2 linked regions of the Canis lupus familiaris genome follow. The protein of the gene in region 2 binds, or shares a complex with, the protein of the main gene of each other region. Links are inferred from orthologs where the notes say so. Each region holds a gene or a part of one and is shown on either strand. Other genes may lie near its edges.

What was found. Proteins that work in one complex are often made in the same cells at the same time.
Region 1: the proteins of JAML (region 2) and CXADR are in contact, whole or in part, in a crystal structure (PDB 3MJ7), measured with the Mus musculus proteins. The link is inferred for Canis lupus familiaris from reciprocal best matches to the Homo sapiens genes JAML and CXADR. Residues at the interface, in NP_001005421.3 of Mus musculus: Arg57, Asp59, Ala69, Tyr72, Phe75, Tyr77, Leu80, Val82, Glu120, Arg122, Ser127, Met128, Val129, Met130, Lys131; in NP_001020363.1 of Mus musculus: Thr23, Gly51, Pro52, Asp54, Glu56, Leu58, Ser60, Gln65, Ile66, Val67, Asp68, Gln69, Val70, Leu73, Tyr83, Lys121, Lys123, Lys124, Ala125, Pro126, Gly127, Val128, Asn130.

Annotation. Positions count from the first base shown.
Region 1 is NC_049252.1:14,459,822-14,467,444, reverse strand, and holds the start of CXADR (coxsackievirus and adenovirus receptor), read right to left. Parts: upstream 5,332-7,623; 5' UTR 5,224-5,331; coding exon 5,181-5,223; intron 1-5,180. UniProt on the Homo sapiens protein: Component of the epithelial apical junction complex that may function as a homophilic cell adhesion molecule and is essential for tight junction integrity.
Region 2 is NC_049226.1:15,529,387-15,536,934, reverse strand, and holds part of JAML (junctional adhesion molecule-like), read right to left. Parts: coding exon 7,510-7,548; intron 4,429-7,509; coding exon 4,290-4,428; intron 2,012-4,289; coding exon 1,951-2,011; intron 569-1,950; coding exon 482-568; intron 1-481. UniProt on the Homo sapiens protein: Transmembrane protein of the plasma membrane of leukocytes that control their migration and activation through interaction with CXADR, a plasma membrane receptor found on adjacent epithelial and endothelial cells.

The DNA of each region.
Region 1 (7,623 bases), on a different chromosome or scaffold from region 2:
ATGGGAAAAAGCTTGAGAGACAGACTAGAAATAGACTGGAAGCTGTCAACACAAAAATGCTAATTGAAGCCATAAACTGAGGAACCCCAACATTAAAGGTATAAGGAGGAAACTGGGTACACAAAGGAAAATGAGGAACAAGGTTCTAGGTCTGGTGGCTGGAAGTTAAGAGAGTCCCTACCTACTGGTTTCTACCTGGGTCTGCTGCTGTCCCTTGGAACGACGGTCATGCACGCAACACTGCACTGTCAGGCCAACTGCAAACGCTAAGTAGGTTTCTCTTTCTTCACTTAACTGATGCCCACTTCTTAACCTATAAAAATCTAGCTCTACTCACTATAGAAACTGTCCTCCATGTGGAATCCACAACTTTCTGAATGTTCCCAATGATCTCTTATTGGTAAGACCCACTGACCTCATTTCTGCATCAGTTTCTGGACACCCTCATTCCACAGTTCTCCTACAACCCCCACATCACTCTTTACTGTTCACCTTCTGTGTACTTATTAGTTGATGTTCTTCAGTGTGAAAGTTCATCTCTCTAGTGTCACCAGCTTTTCCTGGTTAATCTTACACAGATGGCACCTTACACAATATTAGCAGTGATTCTCAAATCTCTATCACCAATCGTTGTTTCTTTCCTGAGATCTAGTCCTTTAAATCTTCCTACCAGATATTTTTTTTTACCTCCATTCCCCTCAAGTGCCTCAAATACCACCTGTCTAAACTTAAGCTCGTTGGTCACTTCTCCTAAAACTTGTTCCTCTTCATCCTCTGCAAGTTAGGGACTTCACCATTCATTCAAAACCAGGTATATTACTGCTTCTCTCCAACTTCTGCTTGGAACCAACCAAATTATCAGACTTCAATACATTTTCCTCAAAAGAACTTTTCAGATCAGAGAGGAAAGCCCAACAGCGCTCTGTTTTTCAAGGACTGCTTATGTGTAGATCATCCCAGATAGCTTCCTGTGTTAGACCTACCTGCCTCCAGAACTGCTACAGAGTTCATCATTCCAGAGAATAATCTCAGTGTTTCATCTCACTTCTTTAATGTCTCCACAAGCTTCTTAGTGCCACCACAGAGGGTGGTATAACTTGACACATGTCCATTATCTTTCATCCCCTAAGCTCTTGGCACAGCCTTAGAGCTTCACTCACCCAGAGTGTGGTCAGTAGTGAAATCATCAGGAACTTGTTAAAAACCAAAAATCTGGGATGCCTGGGTGGCTCAGCGGTTAAGCATCTGTCTTCCAGCTCAGGGTGTGATCCTGGAGTCCTGGGATCGAGTCCCACATTGGGATCCCTGCATGGAGCCTGCTTCTCCCTCTGCCTGTGTCTCTGCCTTTCTCATGAATAAATAAATATAAATCTTAAAAAAAAAAAAAAAATCTCAGGCCTCGCCCAACTTTCTTAGGAGAATGACTCAGATTTCCATCAAAAGTTTGAGAAGTGGTGATTAGATGCTCTCATGAACTGAATTTCTCACCTCCCAAGACACATCATACCCTTTCAGATCTCCATGTCTTTGCAAAAGCTATACCATCTGCTGGGAATGACCTATCAAAGCTTTGCACCTTGCAAAGTTCTATACTACTGTAAGGACACCTAACACAAGCACATAGTAGGCAATAAATATTTGAATGATTGAATCATGTAATCAATTAATTAATGGGTGAGCCTGGCCTGACATTTGTAGAGTCTGAGGTACTAAAGATCATTCAGGTGGAATGTGAATGGTAGGCACCTGGAAACAGGGACCCAGAATTCAAAGGAGAGGTAGGCTGAACTGGTACTATTTTTAAGTCACTAGCAACTTTTTAGAGGTTATAGTAATGGATAAATGAAGTCACCCCGGTTTAAGATTGAAAGAAGGGGACTGTGGGCCAAATCATGGGGAAGGCTGATATTTAAGGGACCTACTGTAGAAGTATGAAGAGCAGGTTAGCAGGGTGGAAAAGAGTCAAAATAGGTATCAAGGAGCTCCAAAAAAGATAAACGGATTTGGCACACTGTTATAGTTACCTCTCACAACTGAAGTGGAATAGAACAATGAGATCAAAGATAAAGCAAAAGCTTAACTTCTTTAGACCAGCAACTGAGACAAGGCTACTGGAAAGACCACTACAAAGATCATCATTATTTGAAGAGAGAGAGAGATGGAACTGATGAGAGCCACACCATATACATGGGCCTCGTGGTAAAAAAAAAAAAAAAGGCTGCAAATTTTCAGTCATACAACATTTATGGAACATTTGCTATCTACCACATTCCACACACTAACACCAGGACTATAACAAGAACACAAAGAATGCCCCTACCCTCTGACCTAGTGCAATGAGATAAACTGAGTAAACTGATGGACACCCCACAACAAATAGGGTAAGGAGCCAATGAAAGTGGGTTGCTGTGAAGAAGAGGCAACATTTTTTTTTAGGTGGTTGGTATAATGGCCAAAATGTAAACAAAGAGATATATAGAGGAGATAAAGTTCATATTTAATCTTCCCATTTTTTATGCAAAGGAAGACTCCAGGAAAGATGATAAACATTTCACTTTGTTCCTTAATGGCTCTGAGATGATAGGATCCTTGTTCTTGATACATAAAGCAACTGAGGCACACACAAAGGACAGAAGCCTACAGCTGTCGTCAAATGGCTAACATGTGGTGGGGAGACAAGAACTTTTTAGTTTCACTCATGATGCCAGCGTGAGAAGCAGCGTCTCAAACAAGATCCCCAGGTGATGCTGATGGTACATGGGCCACATCAATTTACAATAGCTGCCTAAGCTTTTTCTTGCTCCTCATGCTTTCCTAATAGTGTCTGAAAGCATTAAACTAAGTTCAAGAAATTAAAGGGCTAATAAAGAAGTCTTCAGTATTTGGCACACAGTCAAACCAACAGCAGGTTCTTACTATGTGACAGAGAAGCAGTGATAGAAATTTAGAATGTCAGAGATAACCAAAGAAGAAAGTGACTGCTTCAGAGGCAAAACAGCATAGTGGGAAGGGTAAGGATTAAGAAGGAAATTTGTGACCTCAGCAAATTAAGTTAAAGAACTACTCCGTGTCTCAGTTTCCTCACATGTACAACAGGGATCATTATAATACATACCCTCCAGGGTTGCTAGGTAAATGGAACATATATAAAGCCCTTAACAGTGGCTGGCATTTAATAACTTTCAATCAAGACTTTAATTTTACTACTATTGCCACTATTATTACTGGTAGTATGATTTCCTACTGGGTAGGTAATAAAATGCATCCAAAGGCCTTCCACTAGCAACTAGAACATATGACAAAACTCTTTACAGCCCATATGGAAACAGATCTAGAGGAAAAATGGCACTGCGATTTTTAATATGAAAGCCTCCTCTGCTTTGTTTTGCCAAATGTAGAAGCCAATCACGTTACCACTCAAATTGAATTCACAGCAATGAGTGTCTAAAATGGCAAGAGTATCTGAAGAAATACTCAAAGCCACCCATCAGTTAGATAGCTTTAGAGCTGTTCCCTAAGCTGGAAAACTGGAACTAAAAATAGTTGTCTTCTTATGCTAAAAACAGTCCTTTAATGAGAAGTTCACTATCCAAGCTTACAGTTTAAAAGCAGAATGACTCTGTATATATTAAACATGTCCTCAGTTGAGATTGTACCTAGTAAAGTGAGGTGTCCAGAAAAAAATGAAATCCAATTATCTGGACATCCCCAGAAGGGGAAAAAAAGAGAGATCCTCTACATGGTTTGTTATTCCATTTTTCTGCTCTGGATGTAGCCTAAAGTATTTTCTCCATGGAGAACATGCACTCTCCACTTCAAATTTAGTCCCCGACAAAACAAACGAGGGGAATGTACCACGTAAACTGGTTACTGACCCTTCATCTTTTCCGGAAGCTTTACTTTGAAATTTTCACCCAAATCTAAATGATATGTATTAAAAAGGTGGAGGTGGTGCTATCGATGGAAGATTAGACTTGTTAATAGAATGTTGATCCCCTGAGTAACGCTCACAGATGTGGCATCCAACAATGGAATTAACATTTCAACAGGAAGCAGAGAGCTATCCCAACAGAAAGGGCCACTCGATCCTTTCCAACACATCAAAAAAAAAAAAAAAAAGAAAGAAAGAAAGAAAGAAAAATCCTTCCAGAGACTATAAAAAGTGTGCCTGCGACGGTCACACTTACGGGTTTTTTTTTTTTTTTTTTTAACTAACCATTTGGTTCCAACAGCGACAAGTGCTCATCTTGACAAACAAGATCAGTTAAAACACTGCCACGAAAACAGATCCGTTTCTTAAAAAGCATCAAATGATTGTGCCTTCAAATGTCCACGCATTTTTTAGATGCCTTTTTTTAAAATTCCCCTCCCGAGAAGAGCGCAGTCAGAAAATGCACTTGGCGAATCCTTTAGGGATTGCCCTGTACAAGCCATCCCCTCGTATCTTCAAAAATGAATGAACTCGTCGTAAACTCAAAGCGAGGCTCTGAATTTCTTCCGTGCACTTTGCTCCGGGACTGCAGAATCGAGAGCCTACGTGGATCTGCAGCCCTCCCCTTCGGTCGAGCTAACCTCTGGGCTAACAGCTCGCGCTCGCGCTCGGGCTCGGGCTCGCCTCTGGAACCAGGTCGGGGAGGCTGCAGCCGCCGCCCGTCCAGCGCCTCTCGCTAGAGGCAGCTACAGCTGCACGGTCGAGGCACGGGGGAGCTCAGGGCCGGCTCGATCTCGGCGCTGGAAATTCAGCCTCCCGCCCGCACTGCTCGACACCTGGAAAACTCGCAGCCCACGGCTTCTGAAGCCCAGGAACGCTGGACCGACACGACTCGGCGGCTAACGAGGAAACGGGCGGGAGCGAATAAAGCGAAGGTCGCCCCGCAGCGAAGACGCCAGGCGCCCCCGCACGCCGCGCCCACCCACCCGCGCCCCGGAGCCCCCCGCCGCCCCCGGGCATCCCGCGGCCCCGCACGGCTCCCTCCCCGCCCGCCCACCTTCCCGGCCCGCGGGCCCGGCTCCGCAAAGCCTCCCCAGGGCGACCCCGCCTCCCGGCCACGCGGCCGCAGCCCCCAAACCGCGCCCGGCCCCTCCCCCACGCTCATTGTTCCCGGGCGGCCGCGGGCAGCGAGCGCCCCGGGGCGGTGCCGGCGACGGGAGCCCCGCGAAGCGCACTGCCCCCCGCTCACCCGCGACTCCGCACAGGAGGACGAAGCGCAGCAGGAGCGCCATGGTGGCGGCGCGGCCGTGGGCGGCGACTGGAGGAGGCGGCCCTCGCCCGGGGTCTCACCACCCGGGGCCCGCGCGCTCCCGACTGGCTGGCGGCCGCGGCACCTCCGCGCCCCGTCCCCCCCGCCCCACCCTCGCTCGGCAGGTGAAGCGCGTCACTTCCGGTAGGGACGGGGCCCCGCGGCGCGCGCCGGCCCCGCCAGGAGCGTGGCGTTGCCGTGGCAACCAGCGCGGGCTGCCCTGGGGACCCTCGCGAATCGCGAGCTCCCGCGCGGGCTGCGCCCAGAGTGGGGGGCGGGACCCCGCCCGCTCGCCCGCTCGCCCCAGCAGGAGCCGGGCCCGGCTTCCGAGCCCTCCGTCGAATCGCGCTTTGGGCTCCAGGGTCGGGCCAGCGCCTCTGCCCCGACAGCTCCAGCCGCGGTCGCGCCTCGCCTCCGGGAGCGGCGTCGCCAACACTCGCCTCCGGGCCGCGCTCCTGAAGGCGCGAGTCGCGCTGGCCTCGCGGGTCCTCACCCCGCCCCGCCCGGCGCAGGAGGGCACCGGGCGGGGTGCGGGTCCAGCCTCGCCTCCCACCGCGGGCTCCGGGGAAAGCGAACCGAGCTGCGCCCCGCCCCCCTCCGCCGCGCCGGCTTCCCCCCCATTGCGTGGAGCCGGCGGGCCGCTCTGGAAGGCTCTGGAAGGCTCTGGAAGGCTCTTCCCCATCTCCAGTAATGACTGAACCCTCTAAACCAGAGCTTCGGATGGATGTGAGAAATACCTCGACTGCTTTTTGGGTTTTTGTTGTTGTTGATCCTAGGTATTCAAAGGTTATTCTCACCCTAAAATTGGCCGCCAAGAACCAGTGAGCTTCCCGGGGGGGGGGGGGGGGGCGGGTAGGGGTGACTAAAGGCTGGACGAGGTGTTGGGGGACCCGGGAATGGCAGATTTCGAATTGCCTGGTCAACTCTACGGTGTCACTTCCTGGTATCCTCCATACTTCTTCTGTGTCATCTGTGTTCTCGGTTGCTCTTTGCAGATACTGTTTATTTATAGCTGCCGATAGACTTTGGTGTTCCGGACCGTTCCATATCAGGAGTGAATTGGAAGAGGGCAGCGGGGTGGTGCAGCGGCTAAGTCCTTGGGTCCGGGAATGGGGCAGTTAACTGGGCAAGTAGTCTGGAAATTCACCTAGTTAGGAAAATCAGAAGAGATAATGCACAAAAGAATGTTTGGCACTGTGCCTGGCACATGGTAAATACTCAGTCCAGTGGTAGCTAATTAAAAAAAAAAAATATACTGGGGGGGGGGGCGCCTGGGTGGTTCAGTCTGGTGAGCGCCTGCCTTGGGCTCAAGGCATGATCCCAGGGTCCTGGGATCCAGCCACCCTTTGCTCCCTCCCTGCTCAGCAAGGAGCCTGCTTCCCCAGCCCCTTCCTGCGCCCGCTGTCTCTTCTCTCTCTCTCTCTCAAATAAATAAAATATTTTTTAAAAAATTATATTGGACAATTCTTTTTTAAATATTTTATTATTATTTATTCATGAGAGACACAGAGAGAGAGGTAGAGACATAGAGGGAGAAGTAGGCTCCCCGTGGGGAACCTGATTGGGGACTCGACCCCATAATCACGCCCTGAGCCAAAGGCAGTTCCAGAACTAAAATGATCTAGAACTAAAATTTTTACTCAACACATACTTCATGAAATTAGAAAAGAGTATTAAAGTTATATCTATTTAAGACTGTTATACGAGAACCACTGAGCCACCCATGTGCCCTGATATTGGACATTTCTTATTATTTATTGAAGCAGCAAAGGAAAGTAAATCAGTTATTAGTAAGACCAAAGTTGCTCAACTGAAATTTAGCCTGGTGGTCTGCTATCCTGATTGCACTTTAAAATTATCTGGAGGATTCACCAGAAATCAGATTTGCAGGCATCTATGCCCCGGACTCTTAGCCTCCAGAATTGTACAAAAATAAATGTCTGTTGTTTAAACAAAAATAAATAAATTAAATAATCTGGAGGAGCGCCTGGCTGGCTCAGTCAGTGGAGGATGGGGCTGTTGACCTAAGGGTTTGAGTTCCATCCCTACCTTGGGTGTAGAGATGACTTAAAAATAAAATAAAATATTTTTTAAAAAATTAAAATTATGTAGAGAACTTCTACAAAATACCAGTATCTGAACCCTCACTCCAGCGATTCTGATTTACCTTGTCTCCAGTAGAATTGTGACTGATCTAAGCAGAGTCCAGAATAACTGCTAGGGATTTCCTTCTTTTTTTTTTTTTTTAATTTTATGTATTTATTCATGAGAGACACACATACAGAGAGAGAGGCAGAGACAGGCAGAGGGAGAAGCAGGCTCTACACAGGGAGCCGGACCTGGGACGTGGGACTCATTCCGGGTACCAGGATCACAACCTGGG
Region 2 (7,548 bases):
CCATATTATTATATGGAATGCAGCATGCAGCCTTCCTGGCAATCAGATTATGTCAAAACATCATAAGCCACAGAATTTTAAAATGTTAGAATTGGAATGGGTTCTTGAATAGGATGGAAAATTGCGACACAACGTTTGTCCAAGGACCTAAGGTACCCTACTAGGTTGTGCTTAACCTCGAATGAGCCATTTTGTTTATCCTTGATAAAAGTGCTCTTTTCACCCCCCAAATCGATTATCTTTAGCCCTAATGACCTTTAATACTGGAGACCAGGTATGAAGGCAAGTTTGGTATTACTCCTCTATCCAGCACAGCGTCAGCTTCTCAGACTTCCCTATGACTTAGAAAAATCTCTGCCCTCAGCAGTGACCTCCCCAAGTGACCTAGCTATGCCCACCACGCACGGGCTTGCCACATCCTTGCCAGCTCCTTGTCCACCCTCCAGACACCTGGCTCGGCTGGGCCCAGAAGCACTCTCACCATGGTCATGTAGGTGGCCTCTGCTTTTCCATTTGATTCTTCGTCCTCAATCAGCATCGGTGTGGCTACTGAAGAATAAACGTGTTTCTAGAGGGACAGGAGTGGTGGGAACATTAACCAAAGATCAGCAAATGTTAGATGCCAGAGGAAAAAACCATCTACTACTATTCACAGGGCATCAACACCAAAAGGTAATTGAGAGTTAGAAAATTATCGTGGATAATGATAATTTAGTTCCCAGTCTTCCTGGCAATTAAGAAAGTTGGCTCGTCAGCAAAGATTACTCTCTTGAGAACCAAATTCTTTGCTTCAAAAGACAAAGTTCTTTGTTTGGACAGGCACTTAGGCAGCAGCAGGGGATTCTTATCTTGCTGGATTATTTGTATTCCATGCTTATTTCCTTCTGACTGGAGCCATGGCAGGATGGCATTGATCGGCCACTAACTGTGGTCATCTCTGAGAGGGTTTATATGGCAGGGACAGCCCTCACTGAACCTCACATCTGTGAGGTGGGTGGTACTTTGTGATTCACATTCCTGTCACTATTTGGGGAGGTGATGTCATCCAGTGACAAACTCTTGGGCTTCTGGAGGCCCCTGCACTAGGTTGTGACAAAATCCTACACTTAGGTCATAAACAGGGCAAAAGGTGGAAAAAGTAAATATTCCAAGAGGAGTTTTTAAAAGAAGGGAGGGAGGGAGGGAGGAAAGGTAGTTTAAGGAAATGAATTCATTTCTCAGACCCTAATAGCAATTATTTATAGCCCCATTACAAAGTAATATGGAAGAAAAAGCTCTTCTTGATCCTCTTTCTTAAGGTACCCGAATATTTTTTTAAAGATTTTATTTATTTGAGAGAGAGTGCATAAAGATGAGCAGGGAGCCCCATGCAAGACTCAATCCCAGGACCCTGAGACCATGACCTGAGCCTAAGGCAGATGCTTAACCAACTGAGCCACCCAGCCACCTAGAGTCCCTGAATATTTGATCTGAACTGTTAACTCCTTCACTTAATTCCTGAATGTACCACAATTCTCCCCTATGGTTCCACAGTGCCCACAGATGATGAAGCACTTACAGATCATCCAGTTATTTGAACCTTACCACAGGGCAAATATGCTTGTCCTCATCCTCATTTTACTGGTGAGACAAGTGTGGCTCTGGGAGGTGGCTGAGGTGGGCTTGAATGGGGATTCTCTGACACTGAGCCCAGGGTTCTTTCCTGTGACCCTACCCAGAGTCCCCAGGGCCCTGTCCGCTCCCTCCTGGGGTGGGGTGGGGGGCTCTCACTCTGTGATGAAGATTTCCTGAGCCCCTGTGCTGTGCCCAGCACTGGCCACCACACTGAGATACAATACTGAGTAAGATAGTCCACAGAGAATGCCAATGACACCCTGGATGTTGGAGCCATATCTACCCTGCCCCCATGCAGAAACAGCTGCAAAATGGAGTTTTGAGTTCTTGCCTTACCTCTGGATCAGCCTTCTTTATGTTCTCCAGGCTTTTTACCAGGGTTGTGGATGTCGCTGAGCTGCAAGGCAGGAAAAGCATGTGGAATTAACTGGCTGGCACTGTAAATTCCAGGGTGCCCACATGAGACCCCACAGAGTCTTGTGATGAGGGGGACCCCAGAGGGGGAAACCATTGTCTCTAGACTCCCACCGCCAAAGCCACCCAGCTCACTGTGAAATCTGAGCAGTGCATTTCTCTGATGGAGAGAATGAAGCATTCCGGAGGTAGTCTGGGCTGAACGGCTCTGACTTCCCTATTACCTACTTAACATTTTTCTGCATCCACACTGTTTTAAGTGAATTAATAGGGAGGGCCATCATGGGATTGGATTTTTATCATTAACCCGGGAGTAGGGAGATGTAGCCATGCCAGCAGGGGGCAATAGAAGCTCAGCTGAGACACACAGTTCAAAGGCTCCTCCCCTGGGGAAGAGGCTGAGCAGAAATAGCGCCACAAACCCCCTAAGCTGCCAACCCTGGCCCCTTCCCAGCCCTTGGCCTTTGATCTCTTGACCATCTGCCCTCTGCATCTGCTACTTAATACAGTTCCTTTTTTTTCCTATTTTGGTCTAAGGTAGAACTTAAAAAAAAAAAAATCAGGGTTGAAGCTAGAAGTCATTTTTTTTTTTTTTTTGTCTCAAAGTGGAGGAAATAGTTTTCTCATACATTATGATTATAAAGTTGTATGTTCTCACTGTAAAATAATTCAAATACTAAAGAAACACAGAGAGTTGAAGTTTGAAGTTCCAGAAAACCTCCTGCCCTTGTGGGATCCACCTTCTCTTTTCACCCAAACAGCACTACTAATACTTTGGAATTATTCTTTCCAACCTTTCTCAATGCAGGCCTTACTGCACTCACACAAAATGTATTTATTGCATCTGCTGCCAAAGTGAGTATTACTAATTTTCTTTTTTATAAAAATGAGATCCTGTTATATATTCTGTAATGTGATTCCTGGGACATCTTCCCATGCCGTTACATTTGGGATTGTGTAGTATTTCACTGAGTGGAATACTGATTTAGTGAATCATCACCTTCCTGACAGTTACTGAGGATGACTTCAATGTTGAATTATCATCAGGGCTACAGCAACCATGTTTATAAATCTCAATATACAAATCTGATTATTTATTTCCTAAATCTTTAGGATTTCCATGTCTTTAGTACTGACATGGAAGTACTGATTTCATTTTGAGGGACACTGAGGCCCAGAGTGGGGAGGTGAGTTGATATGGTCATCTAACTTGGGCTGGGGGCCATCTGCATGCCCGGAGCAAAGACCCTCAGAGAGGCCAGCCAAGTTCAAACCAAGTCAGAGAGGCCCTGGGGAACGAAGTGAAGCCCAGCAGGCAAAGCACTTTCTAGAGAGTCTATGTTTTATGGGGAGACTCAGAGTCAGCACTCTAATGAGGTCCTTTGCCCATTGACATTTCAACAAGAGAGCCAATCTGCCCCAGCAACGTATCTCATCATCAACAGTTGAATCAATGGATGCATGCGGCCCTGCCAACAGCCAAACCTGCTGCCTTATTGGATGGAGCATCTGGGCATTTCCAAGATGCTGGGAGAAGGGGTACTGAAATTAAAGCCTTCAACAACACATTTCAACAATAAATAACTTAGGACCTAAGGACATCCGTTCAGAAATAGCCACTCAGAATTAGACTGTGGTCCTTTTAAAAATTTATTTATTTATTTATTAGCAGAGGGAAGAGCGAGATCTTGGGGAGGAGCAGAGGGAAAGGGACAAACACTGAGCAGAGAGCCCAAAATGGGGTTTGATCCAATGACCCTGAGGTCATGACCTGGGCCGAAATCAAGAGTCAGACACTTAACCAGCTAAGCCACTCAGGTGTCCTAGAGTGTGGTCCTTTAAATAAAGCCACTGATAACCCTCAAGATCTGATCTTCCTTATGAAATGTGTATTGTACATAATTCAAAAACCCATTTCCCTCAGGCATTGAATGGCACCATTATAGCTCTTGCATAAGATTTATACTTAATTATGTTCCTCTTAAACCACCATTTACAAAAGAGCTGAAAAATCTTTGTAAACTACCAAAACGAATGAAGAGGGTATAGGGATGTACAAGGCCCTCTGCAACACAGAGTGGAGGGTTGGGGTCACTAGAGTGAGTGGAGGGTTGGGGTCACTAGAGAGATGACATCTAATCTGACAACCACAGATGATTCTATTTTAAAGTATCCCCTTCCGGGAAAGTGGCACAGTTAGGGCCCTATCACTCTTCTACTTCAGGTTGAGGAACCGCCAGCCTCCCAACCCAGCCCTGTACCTCTTACTTCTGTGGGTCCTCTTCACGATCAAAATCAGAACAGGAAGCAGCAGGATAGTGACACAGACAATCCCCACAATGATCACCAGCTGATTACCACCCAGGATCTCAGGTCTGAGGGCTACTGGGGTCACCATTGCTTAGGAAAGGAAAAAAGCAACAAGACAGTCTCAATATTCCAGTATAGAGCTGGAAATCCCACCAGATCTATACTAACTCGGGAAGTTGGGAGAGAAGGCCAGACTCCACCCCATATTGAAATACTGGCATTCCACTTGTCCCCATTAGATGGAGAACCAAGTCTGGCCTCCTTGCTTACCCCTACAGTGTAGATTAAGGTGGGTGGGAGAAGAGAATAGCACCTTACCTACAGCAGAGTTTCCTTTTACATTAACAGTTCTATCTTAAAACAACAAAACAGATTTTTTAGAGGCTTCAGATCTTTCAATGAGAAAGTGGTTGGTTTCAAAAGGATATGTGGTACAACCCTCAGCCCCATAGTCATGATACCAAGTAAAGCGCTTCCACCCATATGGTACCCTTCATCCATTTCCTCTACATCCATTTCCTTTCACTCTACATATATACATAAACACCTCCTGGGTGCTAGATATCACTAGGCAAAGAAGCTACAAAGACAGTTAGTGCATGGTCCCTGCCTTCAAGGAGAGGGATGAACATGTCAATGGAAAATCACAGTCTGCTATAGGGACCAGGATGGAAGTCCATATGGGGTACAGGGGGCACAGAGAAAAGGGTACCTAATTCTACGGGGAGCAGATGAGAAGTTCTCAACAGTTTTAAAATTTAAAAGTCTTAAGGAAACATAAAGTTTGTTGGGCAGACAATATGGGAAAGGATGGGGGTGGTGCATTACACACAAGGTCTGGAGGCCCAAGAGGATGGGACTTTCAGAAACTAAAATAGTTCCATGGGTCTGGCTCTAGGTTGCAGTTGGGGGCATAGTGGGGAACTAAACAACAGAGTCTCAATCATGAAGGGTCTTGATCTCAGCCAGGAGTCTGGCTTTCTTTCAGTAAGTGATGGAAAAACCAAACACTGAAAGACTCTAAGCACCGGGACAGAATGTTGCGACTTGTGGTTTAGAATGGTGGCACTGAGGGCTGCAGGAAGAATGAGAGCAGAGGCTGAGAAGGAGAGCAGACCCTGGTTAGAGGGCTACAGGCCAATACACAAAGGAAGACAGCTAGAGCGTGGTGAGGGACTGGGGGGAAGGCAGACTCAAAGTCAGTAGTAGAAATAACAGGACTTGTTGACCTGTTAGTCTGGGGGTCACGGGAAAGGGAAGAATCAGTACAACTCTCAGGCATCCAGCTAGGTAACCATGTAGATGGTGACAGAGATGAGCTAGGGGAGAGGTGTGCAGGGGCAGGTTTGGATATGTTGCATTTGAAGTTTTGCAGAATGTTTAGCTAGGATTTAGATGGAGACATAGATTAGACAGGAAGGAAGGAAGGAAGGAAGGAAGGAAGGAAGGAAGGAAGGAAGGAAGGAAGGAAGGAAGGAAGGAAGGAAGGAAGGGAGGAAGGAAGGAAGAGCAGGAGGGAGGGAAGGAAGGAGGGGGGAGGGAGGGAGGGAGGGAGGGAGGGAAGGGGGGGAGGATCCAACATAGAATATATTGATTATATGGAGAATACTGTGTCCAATATTACTTGGGTAAAGAAGGCTGAGGTGGGCAATTAGAGTAGCATTGGTGACCTAAGCTAGAGCAGAGGCAGAAGCAGAAGCCAGGATGTGGTGCACTAAGAGGTTAAGGGAGGAGAGACAAGAGACACCACAGATGGCCTCTTAGCTACTTAGGTAGGTCAAGAAAGAAATATAGAATTGAGGGGATCCCTGGGTGGCTCAGCGGTTTGGCCCCTGCCTTTGGCCCAGGGCGTGATCCTGGAGTCCTGGGATCGAGTCCTACGTCGGGCTCCTGGCATGGAACCTGCTTCTCTCTCCTCCTGTGCCTGTGCCTCTCTCTTTCTCTTTCTACATCTATCATGAATAAATAAATAAATCTTAAAAAAAAGATTTAGAATTGATTGCGGTGGAGGTTGCACAACTCTGAATATACTAAAAATCGCTGAGTTGTAGGCTTTAAGTGGGTGACTGTATAGTATGAGTTGTTTCTGTTTTAAAGAGAAGAAAGACACACAGGATGAGAGCTAAAGTAGCCCAGGACAGAAGGTGAGAGGAAGAGGTGAGCATATCTACAGTCTGGGTGGCAGGAGCCAGTAGACAGTGTGACGTGCCTGAGACAGGGAGAAAGTTCCACCTGAGCACAGAGGTTTGGATAAGCTCAGGGCAGAAGAGCCCCTGGGATGGTGAGACAGAGAGGTGAGGATGTGGGCAACGTAGATAGGCCTGGGGGGTGGGTGCTTGGTGGTTGAGTGGGCTCCCACTATGGAGTGTATTTTCTCTGTGAAATGGAAATAGGGCTTCTGAGAGGGAAGAAATCCCTCTGTCCCGCTCCCTCCTTTGCCATGTATTACAAGAAGGGGCCTTCATAGACTCAAGTCCTTGGTCAAAGATACTGAGGTGAGTTCCATCCTTGCCCACATCCCCACCCCCAAAAAAACCACAGCCAACCTCCAGCAAAGATCTGTAGCAAAATGCAAAGTCCACAGCCACATCCTGACTGTTAACTGTGTTATGGTTTAACTTTAACCCCTCACTTACCGACTTCTCTCAGATCTTTATTCCCCTACACACCACTGGCTTTAATGTACAGGGTTTGCCAGAATAGAGAACCTTTCATCAGAGAACATTTCTATTTTGAGTTCTGGTCTCTTCCTGTTTTCTTTCTCTTCTGTGCCATCTCTCACCAGCCCAGGGTCATTTACCCTTCTGCCGCAGAGCATACAGCATCCAAGTAAAAAAGAACTTTGGACATTAGCTCCAACCCATCTCTGAGCTCCTGTATCTTTAGATCAGGATATTACACGGGCAGTGAGTGAGTTCTGGCAGAAGGTTGGTGTTCACCAAATAGTGTGGAAAGCGAGGTGCCTAGGACTCTAAAGTTAAGGAGGTATCACCGTGAACATCATGTAAGTCCAGGGTACAAGGACTTGTATCAGGGTCGTGTAAGTACAGCACCTGAGAGTGATGCCTCCTTCAGCGTGGCACCCTACATGCCTCTCTGGCCTTCCCCTAGTCCTGGCCATGCCTACCAACTACAAGGACCCTCATGCCTCCCCAGCCGAAGATCAGATACTTTGGGGCTCTTTCACGATCACATGCAGCGTGGTGGTTT